Drosophila melanogaster: one gene and its partner. The protein of the gene in region 2 interacts with the protein of the main gene of each other region in a pairwise test. Each region holds a gene or a part of one and is shown on either strand. Other genes may lie near its edges.

What was found. The genes of interacting proteins can lie anywhere in the genome.
Region 1: the proteins of CG13373 (region 2) and Usp2 interact in a two-hybrid assay, tested with the Drosophila melanogaster proteins (one large-scale study listed by BioGRID).

The regions. Positions count from the first base shown.
Region 1 is NC_004354.4:22,453,737-22,457,490, forward strand, and holds the start of Usp2 (ubiquitin specific protease 2), read left to right. Parts: upstream 1-2,066; 5' UTR 2,067-2,127; intron 2,128-2,709; exon of another isoform or gene 2,710-2,823; intron 2,824-3,154; exon of another isoform or gene 3,155-3,455; intron 3,456-3,690; 5' UTR 3,691-3,754. Other genes in the region: wap (wings apart), read right to left, coding at 1-454, 658-848. UniProt on the Drosophila melanogaster protein: Hydrolase that deubiquitinates polyubiquitinated target proteins. Required for preventing the activation of the Toll signaling cascades under unchallenged conditions. Essential for bodily calcium homeostasis.
Region 2 is NC_004354.4:474,853-478,606, forward strand, and holds CG13373 (uncharacterized protein), read left to right. Parts: upstream 1-2,131; 5' UTR 2,132-2,294; coding exon 2,295-2,439; exon of another isoform or gene 2,440-2,754; coding exon 2,755-3,079; exon of another isoform or gene 3,080-3,160; coding exon 3,161-3,224; 3' UTR 3,225-3,339; downstream 3,340-3,754. Other genes in the region: ebo (ellipsoid body open), read right to left, coding at 1-228, 306-461, 917-1,440, 1,542-1,544.

The sequences.
Region 1 (3,754 bases), about 22 Mb from region 2:
TATAATGGTCGAGTGCTCCAAGTGCCGCAGATCAAACATGCGCACCGACCCGTCCGCTCCCACCGAGGCAAACATGTCCCGACCGCCGCCGGCCCGCGAAAAAGCAATGTCGTATACTTCCTTGTCATGGGCAATCAATTGCGTCTTCACGTGTCCTGCCACATAGACGCGAGCGTGCGGCTGTCCGGTCTCCAGTCCCCAGATAGTGCAGGTTGTGTCTATCGATGAGGTTCCCACCAGATTGGGATCCACCTCGTTCCAATCAAACGAAGTGAGGGGAGCGCAAAAGTCGCTGTTCTTGTTGTTATTCAGTACGCACTCGAGCCGCGTGTCCGGTTCCCCGGCACGCCACACCCGCAAGTAGTCGCCACTGGTGGCCAACAGATCCGGATAGACACCCTTGGAGTCCGGGATCCACATGATCTTGGTTGTCGGATATGGATGATCAAAGGTGCTATTTGAAGAAGAAATAATCTGTCAGTGAGGAAGGGGATTTCGGAAAAATGGTTCGTATAACCAAATAACTATTCATATTTAAAATGATTACAATAATATCAAAACTGCTTATCATTTTATATTATTTTTTAAAGATAATATACGAAATATAAAATGAAAACAGAAAGTAGAAGGGATCAGCTAAACAAATATTCGGTATACCTCTTAGCACTAAATTCGCTGGTGTCCTCGTCCAGGCTGATGATCTGTACCTTGTTGTTGTACTCCTCGATGAAGCTGCCCAGTGCGAGCCGGAATCGCTTGTCCGGCCTTACACTCCAGTTCATGGAGTACAGTGGCCATGGCGCGAGATATTTGTAGATCTCCTTGCGCTTTCCGGCGGTCGAGGACATAACTGTAGATATGGAAAAGGATCAGCATGAGAATCTAGGACTCGTATTCGAATTCGGAGTCTGGATCAAGAACCCACCTGAACTGTGTGATTGGATACGGATATCCAGACCAAGACGAAGATCAAGACTTGGATGACAAGGTGCTGCTGAGTTTTCTCAATGCCGTTTAGCTGGTGGCCGGCCTAATGACGACGAGCTCCTTTGGTGATGATGACGACAATGATGATGATGGCTGATAATGACCACTCACAGCAGCGGACAACTCAAGAAAACTTCATGGAATGGGAAACAAAGGTCTTTGCTTGCCACTCGCATTTGCACACTTTACCGGCTTGCTTTTCCTTGGCTTTTCCTGTAGCTTTCCTCTTTTCCGAGATTCACATCATTTTGTGCACTGGCAGTATTGCCAGCTCGCCCGTTTTCCGACTAGAGTCCGTCCGTCCGTTTGCCGTCGTTATTCCGGCGAAATTTAGGTCTGGAGGACACCGATCGGAGAAGTCGAACTGTACTCAATCAACAGGGCGAAGGAATTAATTCAACGGCGTGCACATCGCGACCGCAACGCATCCGTTTGGCCAGCAAGTGGAATTGTGCCCGGCACTCCGTATAAGGTGGCAACACTAAAACGTAATGCGACGCGAAAATTCGTTTGTGGCGGTCCTTCGATGGGCAAGCTGCCCCGGTTTTACCTTATAATTTGGTTAAGTTTCCAATCCAACCACAGTTTTCTGAAACAGCACGGTCGGAATTACACGGAATTAGTATTCAAAGAACTTTTAATACATTCTTTTCGACAGAATTTTCACACAAAAACAGTGTGACCGCGCAGATAGCTATAAGAAATACCTTGTGCAAAATCATTGTTATATACCAGATAAACAAAATACTATTTATTTAAAACAAAATTCTGTATTAAATTATATTGAACTGTAATATATAATATTCTAGGCTTGACTTTAGTCTAATTAAGAATTGAAAGTTGTGTGTTTATTTCCACCCAGAAATCTTTTCCCTGGAACTGGAAATATAATTCGATTGGCGTTTTGTGCAAAAACTATTAAGTTTGAAGCATATTTTTCAAATCCCATATGATGGAATTCTGTGTAAATGGAACATTAAGAAGGCCTCTGCTCATCTGTTAGCAAGTACACCAACCATACATGCATCAGGCATAGTTCTTCGATAGTTATCGAAGAACAGTTAACCTATCTTCAAAATCTAGTGACGGTGACTTCGTTTCGGCGTGCGGCCACACTAGCAAAAAAAATAGGATTAAAAAGTGAGTTCTGTGTTGTGCAAAAAAAAATTGCTTTAATTCGACCGGAAAAAGGCCCTTTTGCGGTGCAAAACGATGATGTCGCTTGGCTGGCGTTAAAATTTGTGGGATATCATTAAGAGACGGGACTTTCGGCAGCGCGACCTCGTTCGCCTCGTGATGTTCGTTTTGCGGTCAAATTTTCACCTTCGCCACCCATCCCCTCGCCCATTTGTTTTCTATCTTAGTATGAATTTATACACTTTATATACGCATTTGCCTTTGTACATTTTTTGTGTTCCGTGGATGTATGAAAAATTCCTAATAGCCGTCGTCGTCACTTTTCCACTTTCCATTTTGAGAAAGATATTTCACTTTGCGTAATTCGTACGCTGCCTGGCGCCTGTGTGTGTGTGTGTGACCGTGTAGCCAATAGTGCTACATCGCTCGCGCGCACAATCTCGGCACTGTTTTACTACTACCCTGGCTCGCCCCCTCTCCCTCACACATTTCACTGCCAAACGTACGCGCGTGTGTGAGTGCACCTTTTAAAAATAGAATCTCATTTCGTTTCGTTTTATATATTGTTTTTGCTTTTATCACAATTATTTCGATTTTGACGTGCAAAGAATGTATGAGTTTTGTGTCTAAAGAAAGCGGCTAATCGTGGTAACCGTTGAAAAAGTTCAGCTACACCTGTGGGTACTCGCGTGCGATTGTGTGAGCTTGGATAATTCAATTTTTTTAAGTGAATGTGTGTGAATGGGCTGTAGTGTAGTTGTAGCATTTTATGAACGAAAGATCGATTCGTGAAAGTGTGGCCATCTTATGTTAGTTAAGGCCTACCACCCGCTTCTCCCATCCCCCTGCACTACACCACCCGCAGAGCCTTACACTTGTGCATGTATGTATGTAAAAGCAACGGTTTTCTCGAATGGGAGCGTAGACAGCCTGGCGGCACACACACGAACGTAACTTCATTTTAAGTGTTACCGCATAAGGACAGCCGTCCGCGTCCCACACCGCCCCTACCCAGTTCAGCCAGCCAGCGTCACACTGAAGTTGTTGTTATGGCAAACTTGAAAACGGCTTTTCTCTATTTATTACTATTTTGCGATTGTAAACAAGTGTCGATCGGTTTTCCACTCTCCGCCTAACTGTTCATCAGGGACAAATCGAAGGCCACAAATTCCCGAGATGTGCGTGGGTGTTTTTTGCGCTTGTGAAAAATCAATCGTGGGAAGGGGAAGAAAGACGAGGAGTTCCGCTTGAAGGGTTTCGCATTATCTTATGCAGAATTCAAGATAACCTTGCGCCTGCAAGCCTTCATTTCTCCAATAAGTGAATCAAATGTAAACGGACAAGGTCTTGACAATTTAGAATTGTTTGCACTACTAAAAGTACCGTCATAAAAATGTGGTTTTGATTAAAAGATGTTCCCTCATTAGATCATTTACACTGGGCATTTTCCAATCTTTTGGGTATATTTTTGATAAAGAAGTTAGAATATTATGGTCCGATTAGTATGAGGTTTTGAATTCGAATTAATTTGATAAATAGGGCCTTCTAAAATTCCATTCTTTTCAGTTTCGCCTACAACTTTAGCAGCAACAAGAACGGGTCTTAGATGTAGCACATATGCAGCCATTAA
Region 2 (3,754 bases):
TCCAGGAGGCTGGTAACGCCGCCCATCAAGGGTCCTGGGAAGGGCAGTGGCTTCTGGAGGTAGAGGAGCTCATTCAACACAGAGAGAGCCGCCAAGGAGATGGGCTCATGGGCTGGTCGCCACTGGGAAAGGTCAAGTATGCTCATAAGGAAGTACTCCGAGATCAGTTCAGTGCGTATCCAGGAGACCAAGTGCTGCACACATCCTAGCAGGTCCAAAATTGAGGAACTGCGGAGTATATAGAGAGATGTTATAACAAAATGTTGTAATGAACATATGCTCTTTTGAATGTTATGATGACCCACCTTAATTGATTGTCATTTGGCAGCGCTGAGGTTAGACTAAAGTCCATGAGGGTGTTTGGTATGGTTGTTTGGATGTCTTTGCCATTGATGTGGCATACAGCGATTAGCAGATACTTGGTTACCAGGTCCAGAACATCGGGTACACACATGGAGATGCTACAGAAACACACGGCAAAAGGGAGCACAAAATGGGTTAGGAACAGTGCTGTGGCAACTGACCAGTAATTATAGTGCTTTCTCTCAACAAAGCAATATAATATGATAACTGGGTTAACGGTTCAATTAGTTGAGTTTTAAGAGGTCAGCTGACTTTAGTTGTTATGCCATATACATACTCAATCTCAATATAACACTTATTAATAAACCAAAAACAAGAACGGACTGACAAGGTCTGGGATTGTGTTATTCTATGTTGTGCGACGCAATCGTGTATTTAAACAAATAACACCAAAGTTAATAATAAAAATACGCTATGCTCGAAAACATCGACCATCTGATACGCCGTACTCAGTTAAAAATCCAAGTAGTCTTAAACAGACATTAAAAGTATGGGACTACAAAACCTTTTTTAAAAAACATACGATTTTAGCCTCTTCGCTCTATTTACCCACCAGGAGTAGAAGTACTGCTTCCATTCGGTGGTCAGGTCGCCCCTGTTGCTTACCACCTCCTCGGAGGTGATCTTAAGCAGGTTGATGCCAAGTTGAAACCGTGTTTTTGTCAGTTCCATGCAGTGTTGCATGTAATTGGGGTCCTGTTCAGGGAACTCCCTCTTTCCGAGTAGGGCTATCAACTGGGCCAGTGTGTCCCTGTGCCGTTTGGCCACATTTGGAGTGGCTACCAGTTGGGCATACGAGTTCCAAAGGGTCTCCCGCAGCAAAGTCTTGTCCGTGGACGTCAACTGTGTCCATCTCCGCGTGATTGTGTGCTCCAAGGTTGAGGTGCTGAAGAACCAGAGGAACTGATTCTCCGTGGTGTCGGAAGAGGTGGCCACACGGAGGCAAAGTTGCCACGCCTCTGGCTGGGACTTGAAGGCCAAGAGGTTTGTCTCGATCTCTCGTTTCCGGGCATTGGAGGTGCTGGGCTGATAAAACTCCTGCAGCAGTCCCTCCACCGTCGTCAAAGATGCGGCGTGCTGCACAGACAGTGGGTGGGTGGAAACCAATTCCCGGTTAGGTGGAATCACTCTGAATCACTGGCAAAATAGTGCGTTTGGCCCGGAGCCCCCCGCCTCACCATTTTCCGTGTCCTTTACGATCCTTCCGAGTATCTGTGATCTGGATGTTACGGTCACTGTGAGCTCCGCTTGCTCGCGGTTCTAATTCCGATCGCATCAGCAGTCGGCGTCCATTAATTGCATGGTTTTCTTTGTGTCTTTACACAAAAGGTGGCCAAAATCTACTCCGGGAAAGTGAACAAATTCCGCACGGCTGGCAACCCTGGCCGATAGTCAATAAATATCGATAGTTGTTGGTTATGGGTATTTTGAAATAAAAAAATTCTACCTTTCTTATTTTAATTACCTAAAACAAAATTTTTTTTAAATAAAATTGGCTATATAAATGTTTCAGCTAAAACTACGAGCGAGCAGACAAGCATCCAATTCAAATCCATAGTTATACAAATATATATATATATATATATATATATATATTATACAAATGTAATAAATTTTATATTTTCAGTCATTTTAATCTGATAAATTAAAAATGCTGGACTATTCCAAACAGCTCATAACCAGAAACATTTTGAATTTTCCGCCTAACCGCAAATTCGATCGATAGACGATAAAAAAATTGATCGCAGTCGGCGCTTTTGTATGTATTTTTTAATATGGTAGCACTATTCTAATAAGGCAATATTGTTAGCAAAACGGGACACTGATTAACTGTTAGCCTGCAAGTTAGGAAACCTGAAAGTAAAGGATTTTCAATTGATATTTCAAGACGTTCCTATCCGATCTGCCCAACAATCTGCCAGTATCTCATCATGGAAAACCAGGTCCGTAAAAAGGCGGCAAAACGATCGCGATCAGCGGATGGCGACGCCAACAACAATCTCACGCAGCGGAAGGTATTTGTGAACCAGAAAATGTGCGACTCCCGTGATCCTCGGAAGATGAAGGAGGTCCATGGTATGTAAATTGCCTTATTCGCACCAACTTATCTTGTTTCGATCCTGTAATGGAGGGGTGGGAGATTGGAGAGATAGCGCCGCTCAGAGCGCAGTTATCCCGGACTTGTTGCTCACTTCAGTTTGAACAGTTAGACGCGAGAACAAAAAATTGAGCAAAGCAGCGACCTCTAATTTACGATGAATTTACGCATAAATTTTTTTTTTTAATTTTTTTCTTGCTGTTCTTTTGCACGTCCCATCGAAGCTGAGTGTCTAACCCTCCTTTAAGTGTCTAACTCAACTGGAACTCTCCGATTTTCTATTTCTTTCGCAGAGAAGACAATCAAAATGCTTTTCGATGGCGCAGCCGGCAATAGGCAGGGTCAGGGCCAGAATGCCCTGAAGCCATTGGTACAAGGCCAGGAGGAGCCCGCCCTATGCGAGCAGTACTATCTGCTTGGCGATGGTTCCATCGTTCTGCGCAACCTTCGCACCGACTTGTCCAATCCGCGCCTGGAGAGAGTGAAATCGCGCTGCTGCCAGCGCCAAACGCTCATCCACGACATATGCGTCAACTGCGTGATGGATCTCTGCGAGGAGTGTGGCTACTCCTGCGGCGAGTGCTCCAGGTTCATTTGCCGCAGCTGCGTGACTTTATTGTGAGTTAAGTCCTTAAAAGAAGCATCCCCCTTGGGAACACCTTTTATTTGAAAATCAATCGACCATCATCTTATTTCCAGTGGTAATCGAGTTGAAGAAGAGAAGGATCCCCTGTGCGAGCACTGCCAGATGTTCTTCAGCTAAGGCTTTACACAATCCAGCACTTATAAAGTCGCGGTGCTTGTTAAATTTTAAGTTCTGAAGCAGTACAAATTTGGGACGACACAATGTCAAATGTATTACCAACCAGCTCCGTTTCACTTATGTCCTGTAACTGCTTTCTTTCCGGCCGATAGCCTGGATGAGATCCTGGCACAGGAGACTGGGCTGGGCTGCTCGGTCTGACATCAGGTTACTGTGTTCTTTTAACAGCACAATCAGGTTGTCTGTGAGTGCATTATACAGATCCACAAATAGCTGCCAACTGCCGCCGTGGCTGATCAAGTACTTGATGTCTACATCCAACATGCTGCCAAGAAGGCAATCCAGGGACTCTCCTGTGAGAGGGACCGTACGATTCCCGGCCAGATTGCGCTGGGCCTCTAGGAGTCATAGGGCATGACCAGAATATGCCAAGTCTTTGGGTTCCGGTTGAAATGGTCATTAAGGATCTAAAGAGAACATTATTAACTAGGGAAGGAGAATAAGGTACTGGGGAAGACTCACCGCTCCCT